Linked DNA regions of Oreochromis niloticus. The protein of the gene in region 1 interacts with the protein of each later gene in a pairwise test. Links are inferred from orthologs where the notes say so. Each region holds a gene or a part of one and is shown in the gene's direction. Other genes may lie near its edges. The genes, in order: plekhf2, hspb7, ube2z and frmd8.

What was found.
Region 2: the proteins of plekhf2 (region 1) and hspb7 interact in binary tests that used the Homo sapiens proteins (3 or more experiments, as listed by UniProt). The two-hybrid records come from large-scale screens. The link is inferred for Oreochromis niloticus from reciprocal best matches to the Homo sapiens genes PLEKHF2 and HSPB7.
Region 3: the proteins of plekhf2 (region 1) and ube2z interact in binary tests that used the Homo sapiens proteins (3 or more experiments, as listed by UniProt). The two-hybrid records come from large-scale screens. The link is inferred for Oreochromis niloticus from reciprocal best matches to the Homo sapiens genes PLEKHF2 and UBE2Z.
Region 4: the proteins of plekhf2 (region 1) and frmd8 interact in binary tests that used the Homo sapiens proteins (3 or more experiments, as listed by UniProt). The two-hybrid records come from large-scale screens. The link is inferred for Oreochromis niloticus from reciprocal best matches to the Homo sapiens genes PLEKHF2 and FRMD8.

Annotation. Positions count from the first base shown.
Region 1 is NC_031976.2:29,650,224-29,657,287, forward strand, and holds the start of plekhf2 (pleckstrin homology domain-containing family F member 2), read left to right. Parts: upstream 1-4,041; 5' UTR 4,042-4,227; intron 4,228-7,064. UniProt on the Homo sapiens protein: May play a role in early endosome fusion upstream of RAB5, hence regulating receptor trafficking and fluid-phase transport. Enhances cellular sensitivity to TNF-induced apoptosis.
Region 2 is NC_031984.2:27,250,219-27,257,798, forward strand, and holds the start of hspb7 (heat shock protein beta-7), read left to right. Parts: upstream 1-4,567; 5' UTR 4,568-4,585; intron 4,586-5,188; exon of another isoform or gene 5,189-5,303; intron 5,304-5,402; 5' UTR 5,403-5,417; coding exon 5,418-5,583; intron 5,584-7,580.
Region 3 is NC_031969.2:1,108,673-1,116,475, reverse strand, and holds the start of ube2z (ubiquitin-conjugating enzyme E2 Z), read left to right. Parts: upstream 1-4,782; 5' UTR 4,783-5,216; coding exon 5,217-5,668; intron 5,669-7,604; coding exon 7,605-7,677; intron 7,678-7,803. UniProt on the Homo sapiens protein: Catalyzes the covalent attachment of ubiquitin to other proteins. Specific substrate for UBA6, not charged with ubiquitin by UBE1. May be involved in apoptosis regulation.
Region 4 is NC_031975.2:9,261,789-9,268,829, reverse strand, and holds the start of frmd8 (FERM domain-containing protein 8), read left to right. Parts: upstream 1-4,028; 5' UTR 4,029-4,446; intron 4,447-4,617; exon of another isoform or gene 4,618-4,639; intron 4,640-5,692; 5' UTR 5,693-5,699; coding exon 5,700-5,790; intron 5,791-5,917; coding exon 5,918-6,085; intron 6,086-6,199; coding exon 6,200-6,301; intron 6,302-7,041. Other genes in the region: rom1a (rod outer segment membrane protein 1a), read left to right, coding at 802-1,232, 1,368-1,614, 1,754-1,975. UniProt on the Homo sapiens protein: Promotes the cell surface stability of iRhom1/RHBDF1 and iRhom2/RHBDF2 and prevents their degradation via the endolysosomal pathway. By acting on iRhoms, involved in ADAM17-mediated shedding of TNF, amphiregulin/AREG, HBEGF and TGFA from the cell surface.

The DNA of each region.
Region 1 (7,064 bases):
GAAATCTTTGTCAGTTTGATATAAACAAATCTTCTGTCACCTACATTTCTATTAAATAATGCTAGTAAAATAAATTCAGACTCAGTTAGTATAACTTAAAGTTAATTTCAAAACCTTGAAGTAAACACTTTGTTACCCATCTTTTTCATTGCTTTTTCTCCTGCAGCTTTCCACCATGACTGATGAATTTATTTTATCATGACAGAGATAAATAGTTGGCATGCGAGCTTAGCAGCTTTGTCCAGAGATGTTGTGTTAGCCTAAAATAACATAACAGCAAACAGCTAAAAGCTCTGGGGAAAGCACCTAAGTGGTCTTTGAGTTTGGACATACAAATGACAATGTTCAAGATCAAAAATTAATTTTGATGCTTCACTTTTAAATTATCCTGAAAGGATCCAGATGGTAACAAATCATCAACAACTGAGCAACAGTGATATGCTGAAGAAGGCCATGTGATACACCTGTGACAAGGTATGGGGAAAAAATAGTAATTATAGACAAGGAGGGCAAAGGTTTACTGCTACCGGGAGGGTGGGGTTCAAATTGAAAACCTTCTTTGAACACCCAAACAGTAGTAGCGTTGGATCAATTCTGACTCCCTGCTAGGCTGATGTGGGGCTTCAGCTGCAGATATTCTATTGTCTTGCTTAAGGGCATGTAGCAACAGCATCTCCACTGCCTCGGGCAACAAAAATCTTTTTAACACATTTCAGAATGCCAGAGGAAACTTGTTAAAAAGTTATTCTCACTAAAGGAAACACTTCCCACTGATTTTATTTTTTTAACTTTAGTTTGGGTGACACCATTTTTGCCCAGCAAGCCGCAGCATGTCCTGTCCTGGTTTCTGCTCTGGACCAAAAGCAGGTCTCCTTCTAATACCACAACTTCTGGCCCTGCTCATGCTGCTTTCACTGCATGTGGGAATAAACAAATCAACTGCATCCTTACTTGCTGAAACTTGTTTGGCATGTAGATGTGAACAATGAGACAGCTAAAGGTCAAGAAAAACATCAAAATGGTGACAAAAGGTGATTTCAGTGACTTTTGAATATGGCGATCTACTGGGATTTTGCCACACAATCATCTCTCAAAAAAAGAGATAATATTCAGTGAGCAGCAGTTCTCTAGGTAAAATGCCTTGTTGATGTCAGGTTGATGAAGAATGGCCAGAGTGCTTCAAGCTTATAGGGAGGCAACAGTTAGTCAAATAACCTGTTATAACAACTGTTAAAACCATGGTATGCAGAGGAGCATCTCCAAACAAAGAACATGTCAAACTTTGAATCAGCAGCAGACGTCTGCACTAGGTCCCACTTCTGTCAGCTAAGAACAAGGAACTGAGGCTACAGTTCATGCAAGCTCACCAAAACTGGCCAGTAGGAGATCAGAAAACATGCTGACAGGTGTGATTAGCCTTGATTTTTGTACTGTGACATAGACGACCTATAACCATCCATGTAAACTTGCATCACACGGTCCAAATTGGTGTTGGTGGTATGTTGGGGATATTTTCTTGGCACAGTTCGGGTTCCTTAGTATCAACTAACCATTGTTTAAACAGTGGTTGCCACTTTAGGACTGCAGTGTAGTCGTAGTCATCTGCTGATGGCTGCTTCGAGAAGGATGACATATGGCACAATGTCGAAATCAACTTAAACTGGTTTGTCAAATGTGACAATGAGTACTCATGTGACACCAGATCTCAGTCCAATAGTGCACGTTTAGGATGTGGTAAAAGTTTATTTCATGGATGTGTAGCTGACATATCTACAGCAACTGAATGATGCTATCATGTCAATATGGACCAAATCTGTGAGGACTGTTTTCAGCACTTCATTGAATCTGAGCTACAAAGAACTGAGGCAGTTCTTAAGGCTAAAGGAGATCCAACCTAGTATTGTTCTTTGACATCGAATAAAACACCGCAATAACAAACACAACTAAGAAATCTTGCATGATTTCTGATCTGGCAGGACATTTAAAGTAAACAAAAATTTGGTGCGTGTAACAAGTCTTGAAAACCAGTTAGTCATAAAAGTCATAAAAGTTTTTTTTAGGTTTCACTGTAAGCTGATTAAAGGACTTGCTGGTGTTTTTGTTTAATCGGGTGTGTTTAACAGCTGTTATCACCTAAATTTACTTAAGGATTAAAATCAAAAGTATTTGTGCTGCAAACAGACTATTGTGACCGATTACATTATTCATTTTGATGCATCACAGTGTAGGAAGAAAGTTTACAGAACTTTGTAAGGTTTTGTTTATTAATATGCAGCTTGTTTTAACAACATTATACCATTCCTTTTCACATCAATTAATGTGAAAGGAATTCAAGTAATACACTAATCTATTCTCATTTAATTTATTTGTCTACCAGATATTAATAATACCGAATATCTTGATAAGTCCAAATACATTTAAATAAAAATATTTGAAAGGAAATTAGTTTTTAAAGATTACTAACAAGTATTTAAAGAGGCCCCAAACAATTTTTGTGAATTGATGGATAAATCTGTTATTTTATAAATACATCATATTTTTTATGTGACATTCTAATTAAAAAGCAAGCATTAGTTAAATTGAATAACATGGTGTGAAAAAGTACTAAGTAGACAGAATTATTGTTATTATTATTGTGCCCAGCAGTCCAAAATTCACTTAAAATAATTTCTTAAATCACTTTAAGAAGGCCTTAGATGGCCACCCCTCCCTGAGCCTGATTTTGCTGGAAGTTTCTTCCTGTTAAAAACGTTTTTCTTTCCCACTGTCGCCAAAGTGCTTGCTCATAGATGGTCATATGATTGTTGGGTTTTTCTCTGTATGTATTATTGCAGGGCCTGCCTTACAATATAAAGTAACTTGAGGCAACTGTTGTTGTGATTTGGTGCTGTATGAATAAAACTGAATTAAACTGAATTGAATTGAAGTTTTATACCCTTCCTTTTACCTGATTAATCTTTCACCTCTTTTCTTAGTTAGTCTTTCATCTTTTGTTCTATTTTATTATTGATTCTTGTCTTGCACCCTGTGGTTTTGGGGGTTACTTTACTAATTCTTTCTGTTTTGTCTGTTTTTAATGTTTGCCACACTGTTTGAATTTACCCTTATTATGTTGTTACCTGTTTGTCAAGTCATTTTGTAAACTTCAATAAGGAGTTAAAGGCAATAAGGAGTTCATAGTAGAGTAATATTATTGCACTGCTTGTATCTCAATGCACAGCATAGACATAATACAGGGATGTTACATATACATAAATATAATTCCAATTAGACATTCGCGGTAACGCTGCATGCATGACATGACACTATAAATGTATGTGAACCTTTGTACTGAAGAATATCAATAAAGTACTCAAGGTGGGTAAACAGTGATATACAGTATTGCACAAAGCAGCAACAGATATCATAAAAATGAAGATTATTATTGTTTATGTTTTTGTTGTAAAAGGAGATAAAAGTTTATTTCAAAAGAAGAAATATTAAAATTAACTCACAAATTGTTCCAACACTAATTTTATAGTTAAAGGCGGAAGAATGAATGGAGACCAAGAGAGTAAAGGTAAAACAACTAGGTTATCTGACAATTAAGCATGCATACTACTACTACTAATAATATTAACAATAATACTGATGATAATGAGATGATGCGATTTCCATTGATACTGATGGTCACATGCAAATGGCTGGTGGGACAGAGGACTAGGATGAGATGGAGGCAGATAAGTCGCTGTGGTGACCCTAAAAAACAGCTGAAGTAATAATACGGACATACAGACGTACACGACTGTACTTAACATAACTGTAAAAACTTAATATTTAAATAATTGTCAGTTGTTTGCTGGACGAGACAAAACATGTGAAGTTATAAACTTCCGCTAAGTAATGATGATGGGCATTTTTCGTAATGTTTGTATCAACGTTGTGCCAGAATAAACGAGTTCATTCGCATTTCAGCTTTGTTTGAAGTTTGTTACATGTCTGCAGGTCAGAGAAAAGCACGTTTTAGTTTTGTATTTGCCGGCTGTCCAGCGCGCCGTGAACGCGGCGCGGCGCTGCCATGTTGTTGTTGTATTTTCTGGGCAGCGGCAGAGTTTCCAGCTGCTGTCGCTGTCTGCGGACGCGGTGGGTAGTTTCGGTGGGGAAGGCACTGCTTTAATCACTCTATTTGGATTACTACCGAGCTTCAAGTTACAGCAAAAGTTGCCGGACAACGGGAGCTGCCGTCGGGTATGTAGTTTTTCCCCGTTTTTAAACTTGTCTCCGTCGGTGTCCTGTCACTCTTTGCTAAGGGGAGCTACGGCTTGCTCTGTGGTTTGCTTCTACTTTTTCCCATTCATGCTAACAGGCGGTAGCTTAGCGCAGTTGAGCAGCTATCCTTCTTTCCTCTGAGTCCCAGACAGGGACATAAAATCGAGAAGTTTTTTGTAGTCTTAAAGTCGAAAAAGCGGAGTTGATTTTTGTTTGACACAAGCAGTAAGAGGTGAGTATTGTTTGGGAAGCTAACTTGGGAGCTAGCTGGCTAACGCTGCCAACTGACACCAGCTTGGAAAACTTGCGGGGCAATAACTTGAAAAGTCACAGAAACTTTTAGTCATATCGTGGTTAAGGTGGTTCATTGTAAAGAAACAATAAAGTGAGGGTGACGGTTTCAGTTTGCCTCGCCAGTGGTGGCTTTTTGAGTACTGCGAGGAAAAGTCATTGCGGTTTATTTATTTTTAGCAGGTCAGGACAGGCTGAAAACGGACCATTTATCAGCGTAGGTAATGTTAGCCTGATGCGTGGTTAAGGAAACTGACTTTTCCACCTAGTGTAAAGTTTAATATTTCTCTAGGCCAACTTCACCCACCTTTGCCTCACTGTGCAGGTAACCTACAATCAGTTAGCGGTCCAGGCTCTGTTATTACAGCTCTTGTGGAAGCGAATGTGCGAATCTGATTGCTGGTGAAACCTGTCTACCACAAAATGGGAAGTCTGCAACGCCTTGCCTCTGCCTTAGTCAGGTTGCCCATTATTTTCACTTGACTTCTTTTTCCACTACACGGAGTCTTTGAACTTAAGGTTAGAGGACGATCACATGTCTTCCATGGCCAGTATTCGCTTTCTCTCCTCCCACTGATTCATTTTCAGTTAGAAGAAGATTTTTGTTATTTTTAATTATAAAATCCCTAATTCACGGTTTTAAGGTTTTCTTCTTTGTCCACTTTCCAGTTTAAGCCACCCCAAATAATTAGAATAATTAAAACGAAATAATTAAAGAAATGACATCCACTCTCTGCTGTTTATCTGGGTATGAATCGGAGGGGTGGCAGTCTAAGCAGAGATAACCAGATCTCACTATCCACATCAACTGCCTGTAGCTCTTCTGGTGGGACATGGAGACATTCCCAAACCAGCTGAATGACATAATCTCTACAGCATGTACTAGGCTTGTCCTCGGGTCTCCTCCCAGTCGGATGTTCCCAAAGCACCACACATAGGAGTTATCTAGGAGGCATCCTAGTAACCTCAGCTGGCTCCTTTTGATATAGAGGAGCAGTGGTTATAAGCCCCTCACCCCTCCTGTAAGGGAGAGCCCAGAGACCCTATGGAGGAAGTTAATTTTCACTGTTTATACCCACAGACTCATTCTTCCTGTCACTTCCCAGATGTTGACAGCTGTGCCTTAACACTTAGCTCTCTTTTCATCACAACAGACTGGTACAATGTTTGTAACACTACCACTGTGTCTGTCAAGCTCTCACTCCATTCTCAGTTCTCCTCTCACTAGTGAACAAAATCTGCGTTGGAATAGTCCTCCATTTGAGGCAGAAACTTGTTCCCATGTTGGGGTGGGCACTCTGGCTTTGGATATGGCTGCAATACTGGTGCTTTGACAACAAATCACTCCAGTGTGAGACAGTGGTAATCACTTGATGTATCTGACAGGATCATCTGCAAAAAGCAGAGACGTGATTCTTAGACTACCAAGCGTGAAACTCTCCGCCTCTTGGCTGAACCTGAAATTCTGTCTTTAAAAGTTATGAACAGAATCTGTGACAAAGGGCACCTCTGGCAGAGTGCAACACCCACTGGGGATGAATGTGACTTATAGCTGCCAATGCTGACTAAGCTCTCACTATGCATCTGCATGGACTGATTAGCCTGTAACAACACGCCTGGTACTTCTTAATTCTGAAGCACCCAAGGGATGTACGTGACATACCGAGGGATGCATTCAAATGCCTTCTCAAAATCCTTTAGCCTGGTTGATCAAACTCCCACATGTACACTTGAACAAAAGAGTAAAGAGTATCCCCTTGTTCCCTCATGTATTGTGGGTGCTACATTGTGACTCGATAGCTGTCAGTGTTGACTTGAGTGGCTGTCATCGCCCTGTTAGGAAACAGAACGACATTTACCTTTGGCAAAGGCTATTGTTTAAATGTTTAAAGAAAGTATTATTAAGTAGTATTAAACCACCCCACTGTCTTCACCTTTTCTCATTTGTCACTCACACTTACAAAAATAATGCTGGATCAGCTGGTGGTTTAAATTTAGTAATGAAATCTTTCAACTCTTAAGCAAAGTACTCACTAGGAATTTCTTCTAATGTAAAGATTTCTGAATATTGTATAGTACAATGGTTACGGTTAACAAAATATTTTTGGGTTTTTTTGGACATATATTAATTTTATTAAAAAAACGAGAATTAGCTGCAACTGTTCAACTGTAACTTGAAATAAAACAGTGATTCTCTAATTCTAACTAAATAGGTTTGGGGGAACAAATACAGTCTGTAAGCAAACATCTGTGATGACTGAGTGTGAAGAGCAGGAAGAGATTTACATATTGATAAGGATGCTTTCTAAAATACTTTGCGGTGACAGGAACAGCTGGGCTTAATAAACTTACCTATATGGAGCGTTTTTGTAGCGATCACTTTTGGAATTTCTGTAGGAAGAAGGTTAAACAAAAAAGCACTCTAATAATCCTGTTCTACTATAGGAAAAACTCTGCTGTATTGCATTATTAGACTGAGTATCTCTGTGGGAACAAAAGGTTAAAGGAAATTGTGGGCGAGAGAA
Region 2 (7,580 bases), on another chromosome or scaffold:
AATAGACTAAACAACTGGTCTAAAACTAAGAAACACTTAAATATTAAGTTGAATTTGAAAACAGTTTTTTTTTTTTAAATATCCCCATTCAAAAATGTCATGTGACAATCTCATTGGCTTATGGAGGGATGATGTCATAAGGACATCATCACTCCAGCCCTTTAATAAGGCTGATATAAAGGTAGAAAGAGTCAAGGCAAACATGAATACATGAGATCTGAACGGAACCCTAAAGTTGGTTGTAATTGCTCAGCGTGGGGAAAAGAATCACAGCTCACAATAATTTCTATTGAGAGCTCAGTAGATTTTCTTTTTGTACAGGCTGTGATCAGCTGACCTGCGACCTTTTGTGGATGTACACAACTGAGTTCAACAAGATGTCGACAGATGGTCATGCCTTGTCCTTTGTGTCCAGCCTCTACACTGACAGTATTCTGTTTATGCTCTCTTTTTTCCACACAGGATAAAGTTGGTGTGAAGGTTTCAATCTGTGAATGAATCTAAGCACCATCACCTTAACTTTAAATTCATCTCTGTTACCCTTTATGTAACTGAGCTCTGACCGTGAGCACCACAGCCACTGTGTACCAGTCACACGCACTTTAAATCCATCACAGTAAACCACAGTTAGTTTACCTCAGTTTGTTTTGCAGCACATTTCACAACATGAAAAAACATAATGTCACATGTACAGACTCAAAATCTGATTTAAAAACATGAGGACTGACCTGTAAGCTTTACATTTACAGTTTATCACATACCACTGAGCAGTTCTTACCTGTAATTCTAACCCCTCTTCTTCCTTTTCTGCCCTGTCTTTCTTATCTTTTTCCATCTCTGAGTGTAGTTAGCTCTCTTTCTCTCCCTGTGAAATACAGCAGCTGGACCTTTAGCTAGCAACATACTGTGCGACAAAATGCATGAAAGCCATTTGTGTGTTTGTGGACGTTTGTTGAGCTAATAGAAATGTTGCATTTGAAATTACTTACAACTTAAAAAATAATACTCGCTTAATGCTCGCTCATCTTGTGTAGGGCTAAATAGACTCTGACGGAGTGCAACCACGACCTGCAACTATTCCGATGTTGTGCAAAATAAAATGAATAAATAAAAATACCCGTGGCTATGGCACACCATTTGCCTCTTTCATCTATTTTTATGCGACATCCCCTGGTGTTTATTAGGGGAACATGACTGCCTCGAATGCATTAAACCAAAAATAAACATGTTTAGAAAATGTAAGGAGGAAAAAGTACTGATATTTGTTTAAAAATCTAGGAAGTAAAAGTCAAAAGTTGACAGATACATAAATTGTTAAGTAAAGTGGAGATACCTGAAAATTCTATTTAAGTACTGTAAAGAAAAGTATCTGACTTCCTTACTTCTCACCTCTGCTACCTATCGAGCCTGCTTGTCGTTTTTTGCGCTTGCGCTACAATCACCTACACGTGGGACCAAGTCATTGTTTTGCAAGCCTAAAGTAAGTCTCAAATTTTTATCCTCAAGTCAGAGTCAAGTCTCAAGTCAAGTCCCAAGTCCAAAACTTTGAATTTCAAGTCCTTTCAAGTCTTCTTTTTAAACAATGTTGCAGTCATATGTTAAATGTAAATAACAGACCAGGTGTTCTTTTTCAAATCTGTATTTATCTCAACACCTGATGAAACAAGTGAACTTACAAGATATGCACAAACTAATTCTGAAATTGCACCTCTATAATGTACAGCTCAATTAAACTTTGCTGCAAGAATAGTCTTCCTCTAAACTACAAATTCACAGAATAAACATTCAGTGAAAAATGCAAAAGTAGAACTTCCTGTTCAAACAAAAAGTGCTGAGATTTCCTTCTGTACAAAACAATGAACCATCGCAGTAAATTTAGTGCAGTGTGATTAGCTTGTCCTCTCTCTCTCTCATCATAAAGTTAGCTGTAGCGCTGCTGTTCCCCACATCCTTCTTCTGCCTCTTACAATAAGCAGCAAAGAGTCCTCCATCTTCACAGTCTTCTTGATGTTCCTCACCAGGAGTCACAGGTTGCTCTGGCTTTGCAGGACTGCAGCATCTTGCAGGATCAGATCTGGCAAAACAAATTAACAACAGCAAAAGAGCCTTTATTACAATTTTAGACAAAAAATAATCAGAAAGAATATACACTATATTCACTCTTTACCTTTAACTTTTAGTGTCACCTCTGTCTTTATGTCACAACTGCCCAACACATGGTGTTCCACCCACAACAGAGAGAATGCTGGATCCACAGCAGCTGCTTTAAGGTATACTGGATCTGAAAAGGGAGCAGTGAGCCCATCTTCTGCTCTAGCCTTTTGCACACTGATAGAGATCCCAAAAAATCTTTTGTTCAACGATGCTTGGAGACTCCTGACCAGACCAATCTCTGTTTTTGATACAATTGTTCTGCGACATACTGTATTTTCTGTCAACTACTGCCAGAAAGTGCTGAAAATTCTTGTTTTCCACAATAGACAGGGGCAGGTTGCGACCAATAATCAAGTCACTTAATCACGCATTTGTGATAGCTTTCTGCTGTGGATGAGTCATGCTGTACTGTCCGGCACAAGTGTCCATAAACTGTGATATGGAAGGCTGCAGAAGGCTCTGCAATCACCTGATTTCAGTTCGCGTGTCAGAGGAGGAAAATAGCGCTTCAGTCTAGAGCATGGACAGTTATTTTTACTGCACAACAGGACAAGATAAATGGTAAAGTGACAGACTGCATCGAGGACAGGAAGAATTGCATCATGCTGCTAACACAACTTCGGTTTCAAGCATCTGCCCAGACAGCATGCTAACGCTAAGCTAGCCAAGAACCCACTGTGGTCAGATTTGTCCACTAAGAGACTGATCTTCGAGACATGTCTTCTCATTAGGGATTTGACTTGGTGTGTGTATGTTGCCTGGGGTTGATAGTGTTAAATTATAAGATTATGTGTGTTGCAGTTATTTCACAGAGTAACATGAATGTAATGTAATGTTACTCTCGGGAGTAAATAAGTCATATACTGCATTGCGGCCAGGGTAATATGTGAAATAATCACTTTTTTGAGTAAAGACTCTGATCACAACAAAGAGGGAAAATACCACAACAAACATGCACAACCATTTGACCCACAGCATTAATGTCATTTCTGCTGCTTAAAGATGGTGGTGACTCTGAAAACGTACCCAATGAGAACTTAATCTATAAGTGATGTTGATAATGGAATAGGAATCACTGAATTCTTATCAATTCCTACAACCAGCAGCTTTAATCTCCGTTCGAAGTTTGAAACACTGATTCATATCTGACTCTGAAATAAAGTAACAATATTACTGCTGTTACTAGGTAGGGAGGAGGCTCTGTTAGGGAGGTGCTGAGTTGCTGGGCTGGATTTAGACCTTCAGCAGGGGTCTGTCATGATCTGAGCAGCCAGGAACACACAGGCACAAATATAATCTTCAAAAAAATGGGTTTTATTATACCCCAAAAAGGACAAGATGATTACAAAAATTCAAAATAACAAAAATAAACTTTTTTAAGAACCAAGTGGGCCCATAAAAGAGGTTAACTTAACAGAACGCTACTCAAAAGTCACTTAACAAAAACATAACTCAACAAACTGACCTGCCCAAATGAGAAACAGCTCTAGTTATATAGCAAATGAACAAACCATTATATACACCAAAGGTGAAAACTAAAGAGATAACAGCTAACCATCATTCAAGAAGAACCCCATTCCCCCTACATGATCACAATAGATGGTCCCATCCACTTTATTGGCTTCTGCATTTAAACCAGCTCCACCCTCAGCCTCCTCTTTCAGCCAAACTAGGAAGGACTGGAGCAGAGGTCAAGTAACTCAGAAAGAGCAGAAATATAATTAATATAACATACCTATATAAAATAACAAACAATGCAAAGTCTATGCCACCATTTGGGCTATAGCTTAGTGCTGTCATGCATTACAGGTAAACTCAAAATATCAAATTAGTTAACTTATGATCACAGAAGCTTTAGAGCATAATGTAAACATAGGACAAAAAGATCAAATGAATATTACCTAAGTATCTCAATTGTGTGGTTGCATGCAGCCATCACAGGTCTGTACTGATAAGACTGGAAGCAAATAACAGTGTGGCGTCATTTTCAATACTGGGTAACGTTTCAAAAAAATAAGATCACCTTGCATGGTGGATTGCCTGAGAATTTACTGTAAAGATTGACTGTGATGGTCATTATTAGATGTTAAGGACTGAGGTTGTGATCTCTGATTTGCCTATAATGTGTCTTACATATAAACCCCTGCGAATCACAGGCAACCTCCTTTTCACTGGAATAATGAATCACAAGTCAACAAGGCAACCTCAGAGAGCACATAAATGGATTTTAATGGATTAGCTGTCAGCAGCACTAACTAGAAAAAAGGAGCAGAGAGTGTTTGCTAATCATGATGGGCTGTGCTCTCCATGCAGATATTAATAGCCACAAAGCAATGTCACTACCGAGGCCCCTGCCCCCATCCGTGGCTTTGTTTTCAGCCACATTCTTTCCAGCTTTGCTTTTCTCCTAACCTACACTCTGAAAATAGAGGTGAGGCGCTTTTTTCACTTTTAGCTTGACTTTGCTCGCTTCTCTCAGCGCAACACAAGACAGCAGCTGCGTTTTCTGGCACATGATTAGGAGATTGAATTAAATAAACTTATGACACTGAGAAGGATTTCAGTTGAAAACGGGCCCTTGTGAGAGCACAAACATCTCTATAATGAGATGAAACCGCGCTACACCGTACGCTGTCATTAAATGGCAGAAACACGTGCGGCTCTAATTTCAGGTCAAAAGACGTGGCCCTGAATATTAAGAAAGCAGAAGAAACAGACAGATGGGAGTGATGGGGAGCAGGGGGAATTAAAGCGAGGGTCGGAAAGCTATTTCAGGGATGACGTGTGATGGAGTGACAACTGTTGCCCCCCTCCCCTTTATCCCCTGTCAGCCCCTGCTCTTTCTCTGCCTCTCTCTATCAAATCCCACTCTGCCTCCCTCTCTTAACTTTAGGCCCTTCAGTGCCCAGAACTTTTCCAACCACAGACCCATCTCTCCATCAGCTCTGAGTCTCATGATAAATTTAGAACAGTGTTCCCAATGAGCTGTGGCTTGTGTGACACGTGCCACCTCCCAACCACTGCATGGGACCGTATAGTATATAAGGGCCGTGGGTAAAGGGCTGCAAGAGATTGGGGGTAAAGGTTGATACTGCCTTACGCAAACCAGAAAAAAAGAATAAATAGACAGACAGAAAAAGACAGTACAGGTAAATAGAAGAGCTGTGTGTGCAACTATAGCCGCAAGAAGAATCAACTCTCTCCGCCTCCCTCTTCTCTCCTTTTCACTCCTCCTCTGCCTTACCCAGCACTTACAGCCATCCATGAGTGTAACCAACTCCTCTGCCTATCGATCGGAGCGTAGTTTCCACCAGACTTCATCCTCAACTACGTCCTCTGGTAACCCATACATGGAGAAGAGCCGGGGACTATTTGCTGAGGACTTTGGCTCGTTCATGCGGCCTGGGAGCGACTCCTTGGGTTTTTCCAGTAAGTTGGAAGCAAATTTAAGGTCTCTGGCATTCGTTTTGTAAACAAAAGGGGTAAAAAATTAATAGTAAAAGAGAGTGGAAGGAACAGCTTTGACGGCAAAGAAGATTTATGCCCGCTTGAAGGCGATTTGTGTACAGTGGTGTGTTTTTGTTCGAGGAGTGATAACATATCTTCAGAGGAAGACGATGGTGTGGCTGATCTGTGTGTGGACAGATGTTTCTTTAAGGAAAACTGTAGCCAAGGTGCTAAAAGAAGAAACAGAACACACTCCATTTTTGGATGTGTATTTTCTCCTTTTTTAAAAGATGTATTAGGAATTTACATATGTGTTTAAAACGGAGGGTTGAGGAGATTTTTTTCTTCACACAGCCTGGTTCATCTACTGCCTCAGTAACTCAGTGTCCACTTGGTGTGAAGTGCTCCGTATCACTTTGCTGCCGGTCCACGCAGACGCGTGAATGTGTGAAATCGGATCTTTAAATGGTCCATGTGCTCCTATGTGTCAGAGGCAGAGCAGCATTGTTTTGGAGCCACAGTTGGTGCTGTAATAGGTGCAGCAGATAAGATGTGAGGTGGTCGCTGCTGAGAAGAAGGCAAAGCAATCACACACACACACACACACGCAAGCACACACAGAGTACGTGCAAACCTGGGAATGCTGGACTGACTGCCAGCAGTGTGACATCACACACTGAGTATCTGGGATGACGCCTGCATGAGAAATGACCAGATGGTTGCCCAGTGACCAGTGTACACACACACACACACACACACCTACACACACATACACGCACAGTGAGGTGAGGTCACATAATTAAGCTAACCTACATGTGAAGTCAGAGCTAATATCACTCACACACACTCATTTCCAGGCTGCTGCCGTGTGTGTGAGGTCATGCACCACGCAGGCTTTCAGTGAGCTCAGACTCCACAGGGACAGAAAATAAATCACACTTTTTTCCTGGACTCACTCACCTATCAATCAAGGATATTTAACCGGGACTACAGCTGTGCCTCTTGACAATTCTTAAATTCACACCGGGCACGGATTGAATGATTATGTCATGTGGAAGATTCACAGGAGCGACACAGCCACAAACCATCTTTCGGCTGTCGGTTTTCTTGCCTCCAAACTGCTCTCAGAAAACTTAAGTCAGCTGGAAACAAAAAAACAAAAGTCAACTTCTGGTTATTGAACATCCGAGGAGAGAAAGTCATTAACTCAGCAGCTAAAAAGTCAGATATATTCTCCAAAGAGGTGGTGCAGACCCAAACAGAGCAAAAATGAAAGTGAATATAGATTATGGATGAATGTGGACAGATTAATGATCTGTTTTTTCATGTCTGCCCATAATGTGAGCCAAATTTCAAAACAGTTAATTTTTACCCCAATTTTTACACCTCATCAACTAATTGCCATTATTACTCATCATATTTTTTGATCTTGTATATGAATATGAACAACAAGAGCTAAAAAAAGATTTTGGAATTACGAAAGAAACATACAACAAGGGAATGTAACTGATTTCTATCTGACTCCTCAAAGCACTTTACACAACACCCCTCAATCACAGAGGCACTTTTGTCTAAGTGCTTTCTATCTAACAGACAACTTGAGGTTAAAGTATGTTGCACAAGGGTACTTCAGCATGCAGAGGCCAAGAGTTGGACCACAAACCTACAGCCAACCCAAGCTTACAACACTTGGTATTTGTAGGCAGTCTCCCATTGATGTACTAACCTAGCCCAGCGCTGCTTAGCTTTCAAGATCAGCCAATGGCATGCTCAGGTTGGTAAGCATGCGGCATAGATTCTAGCAGTTTTATTTAACCATGGAAAACAGATGATCCTCAGCACTGTAATAATTAAGGTGCTTGTTCATCTTTTGTCTCTGCTCAATCCATTAAATCGACAATAAAATCCATGTTTGCCTTGAATGTGTGGAATAGGTGTGTCACGCTATTGCAGCAAAAGCAGAGATTCTGATCATGTCT
Region 3 (7,803 bases), on another chromosome or scaffold:
CTACCGGGCAAACAGGTCGGTGGATGATGCAGTGAATATGGGGCTGCATTACATCCTGCAACACCTTGACCGCCCGGGAACTTATGCCAGGATCCTGTTTGTGGACTTTAGTTCGGCTTTTAACACCATCGTGCCTGAACTTCTCTCTTCCAAACTCTCCCAGCTCAGCGTGTCTCCAGCTACCTGTCAGTGGATCACCAGCTTCTTGACAGACAGAAAGCAACAAGTGAGGCTGGGGGAGATCACCTCTGAAACTCGGTCCCTCAGTATTGGTGCCCCTCAAGGATGTGTCCTCTCACCACTACTGTTCTCCCTCTACACTAATGACTGCACCTCCAAGAACTCAGCTGTAAAACTCCTAAAGTTTGCAGATGACACCACCGTCATTGGCCTCATTCAGGATGGTGATGAGTCTGCATACCGGCAGGAAGTTGAGCGGCTGGTACTCTGGTGCAGTCAGCACAATCTGGAGCTGAACACTCTTAAAACTGTAGAGATGACAGTGGACTTCAGGAGACATCCCTCAACTCTGCCCCCCCTCATCATATCAGACAGCCCTGTGTCGACTGTGGAGATCTTCAAGTTCCTGGGTACCACCATCTCCCAGGACCTGAAGTGGGAGACCAACATCAACTCCATCCTCAAAAAGACCCAGCAGAGGATGTACTTCCTGAGACAACTGGGGAAGTACAGTCTTCCACAGGAGCTGCTGATCCAGTTCTACACTGCAGTCATTGAGTCTGTCCTGTGCTCCTCCATCACAGTCTGGTATGGTGCAGCCACTAAACAGGACAGGTGCAGACTGCAGCGGACTGTACGGGCAGCAGAAAGGATCATCGGCGCCCCCCTGCCCTCCATCCAGGATCTGTACCTCTCAAGAACCAGGAAACGGGCAGGGAAAATCATCACAGACCCCTCACACCCTGGACACAGACTTTTTGATCTGCTGCCCTCTGGCAGACGGTACAGAAGCCTGCAGACCAGGACCACCCAACACAGGAACAGTTTCTTTCCCCTCGCCATCTCCCTTCTAAACAGTTGACCTGTCACACTGCTCCCACTGCCAGACTGTAACTGTACCTTATGTACATTCTGTAGTATTCATTCCACCTCATTTCATTTCTGTATTTTATGTATATACGTTTAGATTAGTTATAGTTGGTTTACACAGCTTTGTGTATGTATGTGTATGCATGTGTAATGTATATATAGATACGTGTGTGTGTGTGGGTGCGTGTGTGTCTGTGTCTGTGTGTGATTTACATTGCTGTGCTCGAGAGCCACCATCTACCGGAACCAAATTCCTTGTATTTGTCTGCACATATACTTGGCCAATAAACACGATTCTGATTCTGATTCTGAAATTTTAATTGGGCACAAATACTATAATTTGGCACAAATACCATGATTTGGCAGAAAAATACTATGATTTGACACGAATATGATGATATGGCAGAAATAATACGATTGGGTACAAGTACTATGAATAGCCACAAGTACTATGATTTAGTACAAATACTATGATTTGGCAGAAATACTATGATTTAGCAGAAATACTATGTTTTAACATAACTAATATCTTTTGACAGAAATTTCTGCTAAAAGGTACTATTTCTGCTTTTTAGTAGAAATACTGTAATTTGGCATAAATACTATGATTCGAGATAAATACTATGATTTGGCAGATATACTGTAATCAGCACATATATTATAACATGACAGACATTCCTCCACTTAGTAGTAATACTATAACATGAAATAAATATTATGGTTTTGCCCCAAAACCATGATTTGGCACAAACAACATGATTTTTCAAAAATACTATGATTTAGCAGAAATACTATGATTGAGCAGAAGTACTAAAATGTAGTAGAAGTACTTTGATATAGCACAAATACTATTATGGAGGAGTAATACTTTAACATGGGAGAGATATTGATACACACACACACATACACAGAGAGCAAAGTGTACAGGGGCTGTTAAGAGTCTGGGCTTGGTATATCTAGGTCAGCTAAATTGGCTGCACCTGCTGTAATCAGCACTTACACACACAGACACACAGAGAGCTATGGGTTTCCTTCAGTGTATTTCTCACATTCAGGATTCCCCTCGAACAAATGGCCATAATTTCCTAACCGTAGGAGCTAGAACGGTCATTCTGACACCGTTTTGTTCAGAAGAGATGGGGAAATCTGCAGGTCTTCATAATTCAGAGATAAAATATAAATTCTTGAAGATATATGACTTGTAATACACTGTAACTGAGTAGAGGCAAAGCAAAACTGCCTTGACCTGCCCTCAAACAACGTTTTGTAACTCTAAATCTATATGGAGCATCAAAATCATTCTTTCACCGTAAGAAACAGCAGGCTTTGGTGAACAGTCATGGGAATTTTCAGGTCTCTGTGGAAATCCATCAAAACGATATGACGAGAGAAAAAAGTGCCTCATTTCCAGAGTTTGAAATCTGTAGAGATCTGAGCAAGGCATGAATTTCCTACTCTCAAACAAGTGTAATTCTTGGCCAAACGGTAATAGGTGATAAAAAACTTTTTGAATTGTGAGCATCAGGACTGTCTGAAGATATATTTGCACAAGCCTCATGTCTCAACTTTGTTTCGTTAAGGAGATATGACGATTTAAAAATGCCTCTCATTAGACAAATACAGCGGTGATTTTGAACAAACTCTCCATTGACTTTCTAAAGACAATTTTCAGACTTTGTGTTACTCTGAGGAGATTTGCAAAAAATCTATAACTCCCACAACAATGATAGTGACCTTTTTCTGAAAGCCAGCAAAAATACCTACGTTTTGATGTATAATATGTGGAGCTTGAGTGGAAATTGGGCGAGTAGCAAGAAGTTGTTGGAACATGAAGAGAAAATTCAGAATGGATGAGTGTCCACTCTGAGTTAATTGCATAGCAACCATAACAACGCATGTATTTTCTGAAAAATCAAAATTTTGCAACTGAAAACTTAAAGAGGGATAAGATTAAAACAGTAGAAGATCTGAAAAAGCTGAATCAGACAGGAATAGCCCAATAATCTGAGAACATTTTAAAGTTTGAATGGAGTTTCTAGGTGAAAGTATGAGGAAGTAGTTAAGTTTCAAAAACAAGCAAGTTTTAGCAGAATTGCGGAAGTTTTCCATTCATTTCAATGGGACAAATTAAAGGAAAAAAGTGTAATATTTTAAAAAGTATGATAGTAATAAACACCAAAAGTCATTGCCGGAAAGAGCAGAAAGGGCAGAACAGTATAGTTTGAACTGAGAAAATCGGCTGAAAACTGAGGGAGTAGTTGAAGTCCAAAAAGTGTACGGAAGCAACTAGAAGAATAATAATAAAGAATAAAGAGAAACAGGAACTCAATAGTGTGGAAGCCCTTTGAGGGCATCCACACAATAAAGAATAAAGAGAAACAGGAACTCAATAGTGTGGAAGCCCTTTGAGGGCATCCACACAATAAAGAGAAACAGGAACTCAATAGCGTGGAAGCCCTTTAGGGCATCCACACAAATAGTGTGGAAGCCCTTTAGGGCATCCACACAATAAAGTTTAAAGAGCCTCCAGCATCCACACAATAAAGAGAAACAGGAACTCAATAGTGTGGATGCCCTCAAAGGCATCCACACAAATATGTTACTACAAAAGATCTTAACATATTATTAAAATGGGAAAAATTAACAGCCAAAAACAAATAAAATGCGACTGAAAGTTGTGGCACTATGTGCCGTGCATTGTGAATGATGCACACTGTTTGAAAACTCAAGACAACCACTTCAATAAAAGTTAACATCTAAAATATTAAAACAATAAATAAACAATAAAAAGCTATCTTCGATAACTTATCTGACGGTGGAACGTGGGGGCAGGAGCCTAAGCAGGGAACGCCAGACCTTCTCACCAGATTCTTCTTCTTCCAGCTTATCCGGGGAAATATTAAGACATTCCCAGGCCATATAATTGATATATTCTTTCCAGGTCCCGGGTCTACTCCGGGACCTCCTACCGTAAGGATAGGCCCGGTTGAAACACCTTACCCAGGAGGCACACACCTCAGCTGGCTCCTTTTGATGTAAAGGAGCAGCGGCTCTACTCCTAACCCCTGCCAAATACTGATCTCCTCACCGTATTGCTAAGGGAAACCCTATCCACCTTTTGGAGAAAGCTCATTTTCTGATCTAATTTTATTGCCTAAGCTCTTTACTGTGTTTTTTACTTACTCATTAAGTGTTTACTCTGATTATAGGTCAAGGGAGCTGAGGGCTGTTTTCCAAACTGACTTTCATAGAACGGGACTTAGCTTTTGCAACTACAATACTTCACAGGTGCTGACCATTAGAAAAAATGCAAGTCTTGATTTTATTACAGGGCTGAGTCCATGCATTGGATAGGCAACCAACTTTGACAGGAAGCATTCAGCTCAACTCATTTTCCAATTCCAAATTTTAAAAAAACGTAAAAAAGTATATTTAAAAAGTACAAAAATATCTTAAAAATTATCCAAGACATATTATCTCTGTTTTAGATTACAGAGGCAAAGGAGGAGACAAACTGAGATATTTTCTGCAGATGCAGAAGTGGATCACAAACTCGGACAGTTGATTGTGAGGGCACAATAACTTCCCATTCTTTTGCAAATTTTGAGCATGGCCTTGCTCAAAAGCTAGCTGCAAAAGCTGAAATGATGGTGGGTTGGTTTTTTTTTTGGTTTTTGTTTTTGTTTTGTTTTTTAATTTTCAGGAATTTTACTTTGAAAATTTTTGCCCGGATGTGCCGTGGCTTTATTATTTCCGTGTTCTTAACTGGTGACAAATACAAGCTCCTAAAGTTGCGATGGTAAAAGACTGGTAGGGATGTGGTTGGTAATAAACCAAATGTTCTGAGGATTTAATGGTTTAAACCAGTATCCAGAGGGCAGTGGTAACCGTAACACTGTGACGTTGCAATTTTGCTGAAGACCGAGCAGTTTTTTTTGGAGGCCTGGGGGTAAAGACAGTCAAGCTAACGATAAATATTCATTATGTCTTGGGAAGAATTGCCTCGCTTTCTGGCCTCGCCTCTGCCCGGTTTCTTTGCTGTCTGATCCGCGTTGGGCACCAAAGGAAGCAGGTTATCTTTAAACTCTATTGTCAATGCTGCGCAGGAGAAAAATATAAATTACTCAACACCAACGGGTTTACTGTAGCTTGCTAGCTTGTGGGCCATGGCGGACAGCTTTGGAGATGAGTCCAGCAGCAGTGCCCTAGGCTTAGACGTTACTACGGGACAGGGGAGCGGAGCCTCACAGCTTCCGATTTTGTCTAACTCTCTGCCGGTGGGAATGTCGGCAACTGGCGGTGTGCACTCCAGCTCCAACCCGGCCTCTCCGCCTCTTGCCGCCACCGCGCAGAGTGGCCTAACAGCTGTGGTGGCCCCTATGTCCGCTGTCACTGCTACCCCGGTCAGTTTTGGGAACACATTGACTCCCGGCTCTTCACCACCCGTCGTGGCCGTGTCTCCCACATTGCATGCCTCCTCGCCTCTCCCCGGTGTTGGGCTAGGGGCGGCAGGAGCGGGCCTCCTCTCTCAAATCAATGCCACTTCCTGGGACCCAACTCTCAGCACGGACTGGGACAACGAAAAAGCTTCCCAGCAGTGCATCCTGAGGATAAAGAGGTAATTCTAGGAAACATATCACACACAAATCTGACGCAGGTGGGAATATTTATGTAATCTAGACCTGCAATCGAAAGTGAAATCTTTCCGTAAAGTTTTTAACAGCATCTAAAACGTCACATTTGACGGGGACATTTGGGAAACTAGAGGTCTGTAATAAGAAGCGAGATTTCGTCGGAACCAGGTAACCACAGGGTTACTTTTCTGTTCACTATCTGTTTTCGGGTTAACTTCGTACCAGGATTTGTCGCCATGGTAACTTAACCTCCCCCAGAGCAGGTCAAGTTCGAGATCAGAGACCAACAGGTGTGAAATCGTTGCCTTCTGACGAATCGGTTATCCAGAAAATTCACCATTCCTAGAAGGTCCCACAGAGGGTCTGAAGTTGTTGTTGTTTTGTTTTAATAGCGTGTAACGTCTTTGGCTTTCACATCAGTAATAAATATAGATTCTTAGATACAGCTTTATTCCATGGTTTTATTTTATTTGTATTTTTTAATGTTAGAAGCAGACAGTTTTACAGCAATTTTATTGTTCTAGAAGGATTAATGATCTTAAAACAGGACACTTACACTGTACTGCTTCAAACCCTTCAACACCACTGAGTCTGTAGCTGAAAGAATAAAAACTAAAACTTTCTGGAAGCATCACGTTTTCACTGAGTCTTTTATTTGTGACATGTTTTGAGTGAGATATGTTTAACTAAGCCTGGATTAGTGGGACCAGTTCAAAGTTTCAGAGCTCTAACGTGTAGCCATCACCTTAGAAATAAACACCAGCACTGAGAGTGCACTCAGTGATAAATAAACATTTAAATTCCAGTTAATTATTTATAGGGCTTTGTGTGCTAAATAACCAGATTAATAATTTTCTGCAGCATTAACTGCATGTCTTCTTTGCAGTTGTTGCATTTTGCTGTTATAAGTTTTATGCTTTTTATAGATTTTTAATCACAATTTTATCATCATCTAATAATATTGCTGATTGAATTGTTGGCATTTATAGGGATCGTTTTCTGTGGAAAAAGAGTAACATTGCCTTTGAAATTCCTGTTTTAGATTGGTAAAATGTTGCCAACACCACCTGGTTTACACAAACATGCAGGCTTAACTCTGCAAATTGATAACCTGATTTTTGAGACGGCTTATTGAGATTACCAGTCTTACGGTAAACAAATCCAGAAAACTGAGAGATACCCTTTGAGCAGTATTTTAGACAGTAGCGCACTCAGCCTATGTTTAAAGATGTTGCTTTAGTTTGACCTACACATACATGAACACACTTCTTTGATTTTTAACATTTCATTAATTTGTTGCTTAATAAACAAAAATAAAGTTATTAAGGAATCGCTTGACCCAAATTAATGAAATGTACAATTTCACTTAATTTACCTGTTTATGCAGCTTGATAGCTTGAACATTCTTGTTGCCTTCGAGTCTTTTCCTGGAAGTTCTAGCATCATTGCAACTCTGGTAAATAATTCCCGTCTAATGTATTAAAGCAAACAGATTGTTAACATGTTGGTATCAGTTTGAATGAGTCTTTGTCACAAGTCGAGAGGACTCGACTCAGCTGGTTGTATTTTGGTTTCATTCCTAAAGAACAGCAGGGTTGCTGAACACAGATGCAGTTTATCACTGTTAATTGCTGTATTATCAGAAACACACTGCATATAATTGCCAACTTGACTATGGTAGGTTTTTTTTAATGACTGCGTTAGTATGCTAGAAAACTTCACATTAGAGCAACTTTAGGGCCCAGTACTGTACTTAAATGTACTTTTTATAATAGATTTCTGAAAATATTAAGATCATTCACCTCCAGGGCATACTGTTTTACTAGTGGATTGCTGGAATGTTTAGGGGCATATTTCTTTGTGGGTTCTCTCTCCATTTTTCAGTGTTTCACAAACCTCATCTGTTTATTTTGTCTGTAGGGATATTATGTCCATCTACAAGGAACCTCCACCAGGGATGTTCGTGGTCCCTGATCCTCAGGACATGACCAAGGTAAAAGGCAAAGTACAGAGATTTACCATCCTTTGACATCATTAACATGTTAACTTGATAGCCAATCAGATTTCAGTAGGCTTCTTATTCCTGGGCTTGATGCAAATCAGGATCAGCACTGGACTT
Region 4 (7,041 bases), on another chromosome or scaffold:
TAAGCTTTGGGGTTTGAACCATGCTCAGTTGGTACTGAGGGGCCCAAAGTGTGCCAAGAAAATATCCCCACATCAAACAACAAAGTAAGTCATTGATACAAGGCAAAAAACGAGACTCACTCAACCAACATTTTTCTAGTCTTCTGGTGTTCAATTTTGCAGAGGCCATGCAAACTGTAGCCACAATTTCCTGTTCTTAGCTGACAGGAGTGGTACCTGATGTGGTCTTCTGCTGCTGTAGCCCATTGCTTAAATGTGTTGTGCACTCAGAGATGCTCTTCTGCATACCCTGTTTGTAACAAGTGTTTTTTTTTTCAGTTACCATTCCTTACCTATCAGACTGAAGTAGTCAGGCCTTTCTACTTAAACCTTTAGTATCACAGAGACATTTTCACTCAGAGAGCTGAAGCTCACTGGATACGAGCAATTTTCTGCAAACCCTAGTCATGGTTGTGTAGGGAAAAAAAACCCAGTATATCAGCAGTTTCTGAAATACTCAGACCAGGCACCAACAGCCAAGTCACTTAAGTCACCTTTCTTCTGATGCTCAATTTGAACTTGAGCAAGTCATCTTGACCATGTCTACATGCCTAAATGAACTCAGTTCTTGCCATGTGACTGGCTACTTCATTATTTCTGTTAACAAGTAGTTGAACAGGTGTACCTCACAAAGTGGCTGGTGAGTGTGATTTTCATACAATTTCATACTTCACTAATTTTGTTTATTTGTTCTGCATAATTTTAATGAGATAAATTTGAATGGTTTAATATTCCATACATTGCTGTGTGACTCACTTTCAGGTAATGGATAACCAAGACATTCATATTGTGCCGAACACCCTCATGATTGTTGGTCTCGCCTCCCTGGGCATCAACTACTTTGCATCAAAGATCTGTCAGGATGCCCTGGACGCTGGGCGATTCCCTCGCTGGAAGAACTTCTTGAAGCCCTACTTCGCTGTCTCTTGCTTCTTCACCGTGCTCATGCTGCTAGCTGTCATCATGAGCTACGCAATGAAGGGCAGTCTGGAGTCTTCTCTAAAGGCTGGCCTGAGGAATGGCATCCGCTTCTACAAGGATACAGACACACCAGGCCGCTGCTTCCAGAAGCAGAACATCGATCGCCTGCAGATGGAGTTTCAGTGTTGTGGGAACAATGACTTCAGGGATTGGTTCGAGGTCCAGTGGATCAGCAACCGCTACCTTGATTTCAGCTCTAAGGAAGTGAAAGAGTAAGGGTCTGGAGGGTAGTGGCTTTCACATTTGTGCATATTCTTGAAAAATTAAAGAGTTTGGATTGAAAAAGTGTGACTAAAGAAAACAATCATGTGGTAACAGTGTTAGTAATCCCTCATTTGTTTCTATAGCCGCATCAAGAGCAACGTGGATGGCCGTTACTTGGTAGACGGAGTCCCATTCAGTTGCTGTAACCCCAGTTCTCCACGGCCGTGCATCCAGTATCAGCTTACCAACAATTCAGCTCACTATAACTATGATTACCAAACTGAGGAGCTCAACATCTACCTCCGAGGGTGCAGAGAGGCTCTAGTCAACTACTACATGGGCCTGATGAACACAATTGGGGCTGGAGTTCTGTCAATCTTCCTCTTACAGGTAAGCCCGACAATGATTTCAGGCAGAGATTGTGGTGCGACAGCGAGCTTGTAATTTATCAAATGAGAGACATACAACACTAGGTTTTAAAGAGCTTACCCTTGTCTAACTTGTTCCTCAATGGCTCTCACTTTTGCAGGGCTCTGTGCTTGTGAGTTTGCGCCTCCTGCAGACTGCCATGGAGGCAGTGGCAGGAAAGGAAAACACTGAAATTGAGACAGAAGGGTACTTGCTAGAGAAGGGAGTGAAAGAAACCATCATGGAGTACCTCGACCCTGTGCTGAAGTTCTTCCTGCTCAAAAACCAGGTCGAAGAAGGGAGTGCTGCAGCCACAACAGCTGCTACACCAACTCCCACCTAAACCACATTTTACATTTAAAAACATCACGTGTAAATAACTTGTACAAGACGGCAACTACGGAATGATTTCAATTTTTAAAAAAGAACACAATAACGAATTTCTGTGAATTTCACAAATTTAGGGATAGTGTTTTTGTTTTTTTATTGTCAGATGACTATCACAAGTAAAGTTTATCTATACAGTGTTACTCTAATTCCCAGTCAAATTCTATCTTGGTGTCTTTATTGCCAGTAAATGTACCCATAGCAGCTATGATTAATCCAGATTTCAGACACTTGTACTCCTTAAAATGAATAAGATGCTTAAAATAATGAGATCTTTTTTATTGTTTATCACTTTTATTTTGCCTGTTATTCACTGCACAAGATTAACAAATCCTTGATTGTTATATGTTTACAGTCCTACAAATATATGCAATTGATGCACCCATCAATCAGAAGATAAACATTAATCGAAGAGCAAGTGGACAAAAATTATATATTTTTTGGAAGATGTAAAGCTGACTGTAGAGAGACATGAGGCACAATGCTCTGCTGCGCAACAGGATTATGACAATAATAATATATAAAAGATGATTTATTAAAGTTTGAGGTTACTAAATGCCTCATGGAGTGGAGTTGTTTTCTTATTTTCTTTGTGATGTAAATACAGCACGCAGAGACATTAAAATACTTCACTTGTCACCTTCCATGACAGTGGCTGTGAGATAGCACTTTCTCCTTGCCTCTCTCTTATCTCACTCAGTGAAAGGAATCAGATTACAAAGGCTGATTAATCGATGTCAGTAATGCAATGAAAGCCATCAAGTGTGTCCTCTGTTCTGACACCTTAGCTGCTAAATCCCATTAGTTAATACCCAGCCTGCTGCCTTTGCAGTTAGACGCCTGCGTCAGGTGGCTGGCAGATGCACGGTGAACCATATGAAGGCTTGGTCTCCTTATACAAATTTGAAAAGGTGAAAAATAATAATACTGAGACTGGTAAAACGGAATACTGGTAAAGCTGAGAGATAATCATTCGAACACAAAGTTATATAGGCATGCCAATATGTAATGTAATATATTTCCCTAAAACTGTACAAGGAAGTTTATTTAAAAAAAAATCACTTTACTGTTTACATACATGCCTTTTTTGCACATTACAAAGTGCAGTATTTCCATCATGTTATTTACACCTATCAGACATAAATGATTATCTCTTCAGCTTGGCAAGAGTTAGTGTGTGGGATATATTAGGGAGCAAGTGAACATTTTGTCCTCAAAATTGATGTATTAGAAGCAGGGAAATTGGGCCAGAGTAAGGATTTGAGAGAGTTTGATACGGTTTGATCAGGTCCCCGGGTCTCAGTCCAGTTGAGCATCTGTGTGACGTTCAGGACAAACAAGTCCGATCCATGGAGGCCCCATGTTGCACCTTACAGGACTTAAAGGATCTGTTGCTAACATCTGGGTGCCAGATACCACAGCACACCTCCAGGGGTCTAGTGGAGTCCATGCCTCCATGGGTCAGCAAAAGGGTGACATGTGACAAACACAACATTAGGCAGGTGGTCATAATGTTATGCCTGGTCGGTGTATATTTAGAGTCACTGTTTTTAAATCTGTTGAAAAGATTCATGACTCTTTATTGTCATTATGCAAGGATAACATAATTATGGCAATACTCCCTGACATGGTGCATTAAACTTAAATAACAGGTCAATATACTGCCAAGAATATTAACATATACAATTTAAGAAGTCTATAAATATGGGAAAATACAATGGGTGATATTAAACTGTGAGTAAATGCAATCCAATAAATACCACTTTGTGAGACATGGGTTGAGACTGTATCAGATCAAAGTTGATTCATGAGGACGTCTGAAGCTGTGACTGCGTGGAATCGACTGTATTACCGTGGCTGTAATCTGTTTTTCGCAGGTAAATTTAATGACAGTCAACAGATAAACAGAATTAATCCGCTGCCTGCTGAAATACAACTGCGATTACGTTTCAGTCACGTGACGGAACGACGCGCTCTCTGACGTTTGCCTCATTTTTTCCCCGTCATTCTGAGGATCAAGTATTTTTGACCCGATCTCATGTGAACGACTTCAAAGTGTACACTCTATGTCAGTCAGTGAACTTTCAAAGTACCTCCAGATGGAACATGTATGGATATTCGCTTCCAGTGTCCTCCGCGACTGTTTAATTTAGAAATATTTGAATTGCTGTGTTTAGAAAAATCTTCTAGCTTGGCTGTCACACCCAAATAATGAGGAACGGTTTAGAATAATCAAGTCGTTCGGGAGTCGCAAAATTTGAAACTGTTGCAGCTGCTAGAAGAGCTAGTTCAGGGTAGCTGGGAAGCTGTGGTGAGGGCAATAACAGCGGGTTTTTAATTAGTCAGTGTACTTGGCCACAGTACTTACAAAATCAGCAGGATCCCATCTAGAGAAGCAAGTGGACGGAAACTTACAGGAACTGGCAGGTAGGTGGACAACAGAGACATTGGAACATAGTAGTTTCATCACTTGCTATTAATAGTGGGTCACTCTGTTAAACAAAACACACACAAAGTTAGCCAATGGGCCAGATAGCTTCGGCATCTAAATTGTTTCCTACTGGCAGATAAATGAAGCGCATTAACACGTCTAAAATGATCGCAGTGACGTCCAGTGTTGGTAATATTTCCGATGCCTAGCTAATTTAGCTAGCATGGTGTTTTCAACTGCCTGTTAGCTAACGTTAGTCAACGCATTTCACTTTTTGTGTGTTGAGTTATTCTCTGTAATGTCTACCTTTAATCCCCGGCTGAGTTTGGGTATGTAAGGGGCAGCCCTGTTAAAACTAAGGAGCTAGCTATTGTTTTATCCACGGGCGGCGAGATGTTGCCCGTTTCAACGACGCCCGTGTTTGTTATCTCTCTGTAACGGTATGAAGGCTGTTCTAGAAATGTTCTAAGCCACGTTAAAAACCCTAACAGTTACATGTTGGTGCTCAGGGAGCACTGCAGTTGAACAGGGTGAGGTCAGCAGTCGACTGACTGGGATGTAGTGATTGTATAGGATCATTCTCGGGTTAAAAACACGAGGTGGCGCTGGGTTATGTATTGAACCCTGACTTTTGTTTTGAACAAAATATAATGGAAAGAGCACCAAGTGGAATAAAGTGATAAAGATACACCCCCTGTTATTGTAGGGTCTACCTTACAATATAAAGCGCCTTGAGGCGACTGTTCTTGTGATTTGGCGCTATATAATTAAATTAAATTGAATTGAATTCCTGCTGGTCTAGTTATCTCTGAAGGGGTTACTTAGCTGTAATGCTTTATTTAGAGAGATATAGTATGTGGCTATTCCCAAGCTATTACACACATGTGTAAGAATGTCAGTATAAACAGCACACACGCCTACACCGCTTTGCTGGCATTTCCTTTTAGCATACTGTTGATGAATAACTTGAGAGTCCATTAGGGTTGGGAGTGGGACTCTAATATATTGCAGGTGTGCTGCCTCTGTTGCCATTTCTGTGTTCAACTGCGACGTGTTTGTGTTCCTCAAGTGCAGTTTACAGTACTGTTTTGCTTTTCACTCCTGGTGATTGTTTTGTCTCACCCATCAGACACTTGGGTACATTTCTAGCCATCCCTTCCAGTTGCATTGCTCCTCCCTCTAAAGTATCTTGTCTTGAGTCTGTGTTGTTACTGGTCTGAATTTTTGGTGTTTTGATTTCAGATTAGAGATGGAAGGAGATGAGTGCAGTTTTCCTCCAGATTCATCAGATGATCACTCACTAAGAGGAAGTGTGGCTTCTTCTGCAACACTATCCCGTGGTATGATGCCAAACAGTTTCACCCAGATTATTTTATCATGCAAAACCCCCCCAAAGTAGTTAATCTATTATTATTGTTATTGTTATTAATCTTTTTGCTTTTTTTAAAATTATGTTTTTTCACACAGCTCAAGATGTGCTTATATACTTGTTTGGTGACAGTGCAGTACACTTAACTCTAGAAGGGCTCGGCACTGTCACCGTGCAAGAGCTGGGCCGCAACGTTCGTGAAGCTCTCCATATTCCTGAGTCTGTACAGGATGTTTTTGCCTTCTGGCTTTGCTCTCCACTGCTCGGTTAGAACTCTTTCCCCCCCTCATATTTCTATCACTTAACTGTAATATATGATATTACTTGATATGAGTAAAACATATTGCTGTATAACTTTTTTCCTCACTCCCTATCTTCAGAACTGCAGTTAAAGACAAGGCATCAACCGTACAAGTTGTGTCGGCAGTGGCACGACTTGCTTTATCGCTTCACCGAGGCTTCAGAGGAAGACATTTCACAAGGTCAGAGTTTTGACTTGCGTGCGCCACCAAACACTGGACTAAAGAAAAGCTGTCAATGCAAGAAATCTAGTTTCTGTAATGAAAGCATGAGAGGAACTTCATACAGGAAAAGGGTGGTTGCAGTGTACAAAGAGATGAAAGGAAAGATAATGGCTTCTGCTGCTGAGTGGTAGATTATTCTTGTAAATCCTTCCTAATAAGATAAAGTAAAGCTTTTTGCTTACAGAGTATGCTCTCTTATGTTGCCATAAATCTAATAATTAAACAGCTGCAATCCTCTACAGACCGAAGAATATTATTCTATAGTTTCTAAAACACTGTATTTAGCAATGAGCTGCACGTAAACATCTGTCCAGTCTAGTAATTGGCACTCTCTGTTTGCCTTAAGCTGACTTCTGTCATCAGCCTGGTTTTCTGCCTCCAAACAAAGCATTTTTGCGTGCTGACAACAGCTTGTTTCTTTTTCTGCAGCTGTTTCCTCTTTATTTCTAGCTTACTTATAAGTTAATGCTGGTTGCTGGCTTACTCGAGGTAAATAATGGATAAAAGGGCTGTCAGGTTTGCTTGGATGAGATAAAAGAGAAACAAGGAAAAGGAGGCATTGACATGAACTGCTGTTGTTGAACAGGAAAGGAAACGACTGAAACAGGTAGAAAATCAAAGTGAATATAGAACAACCATTTGGAGGAAGAGAAAAAGAGACGTTATATTCCACTCTTTGAGAGATTATGTGATCCTTT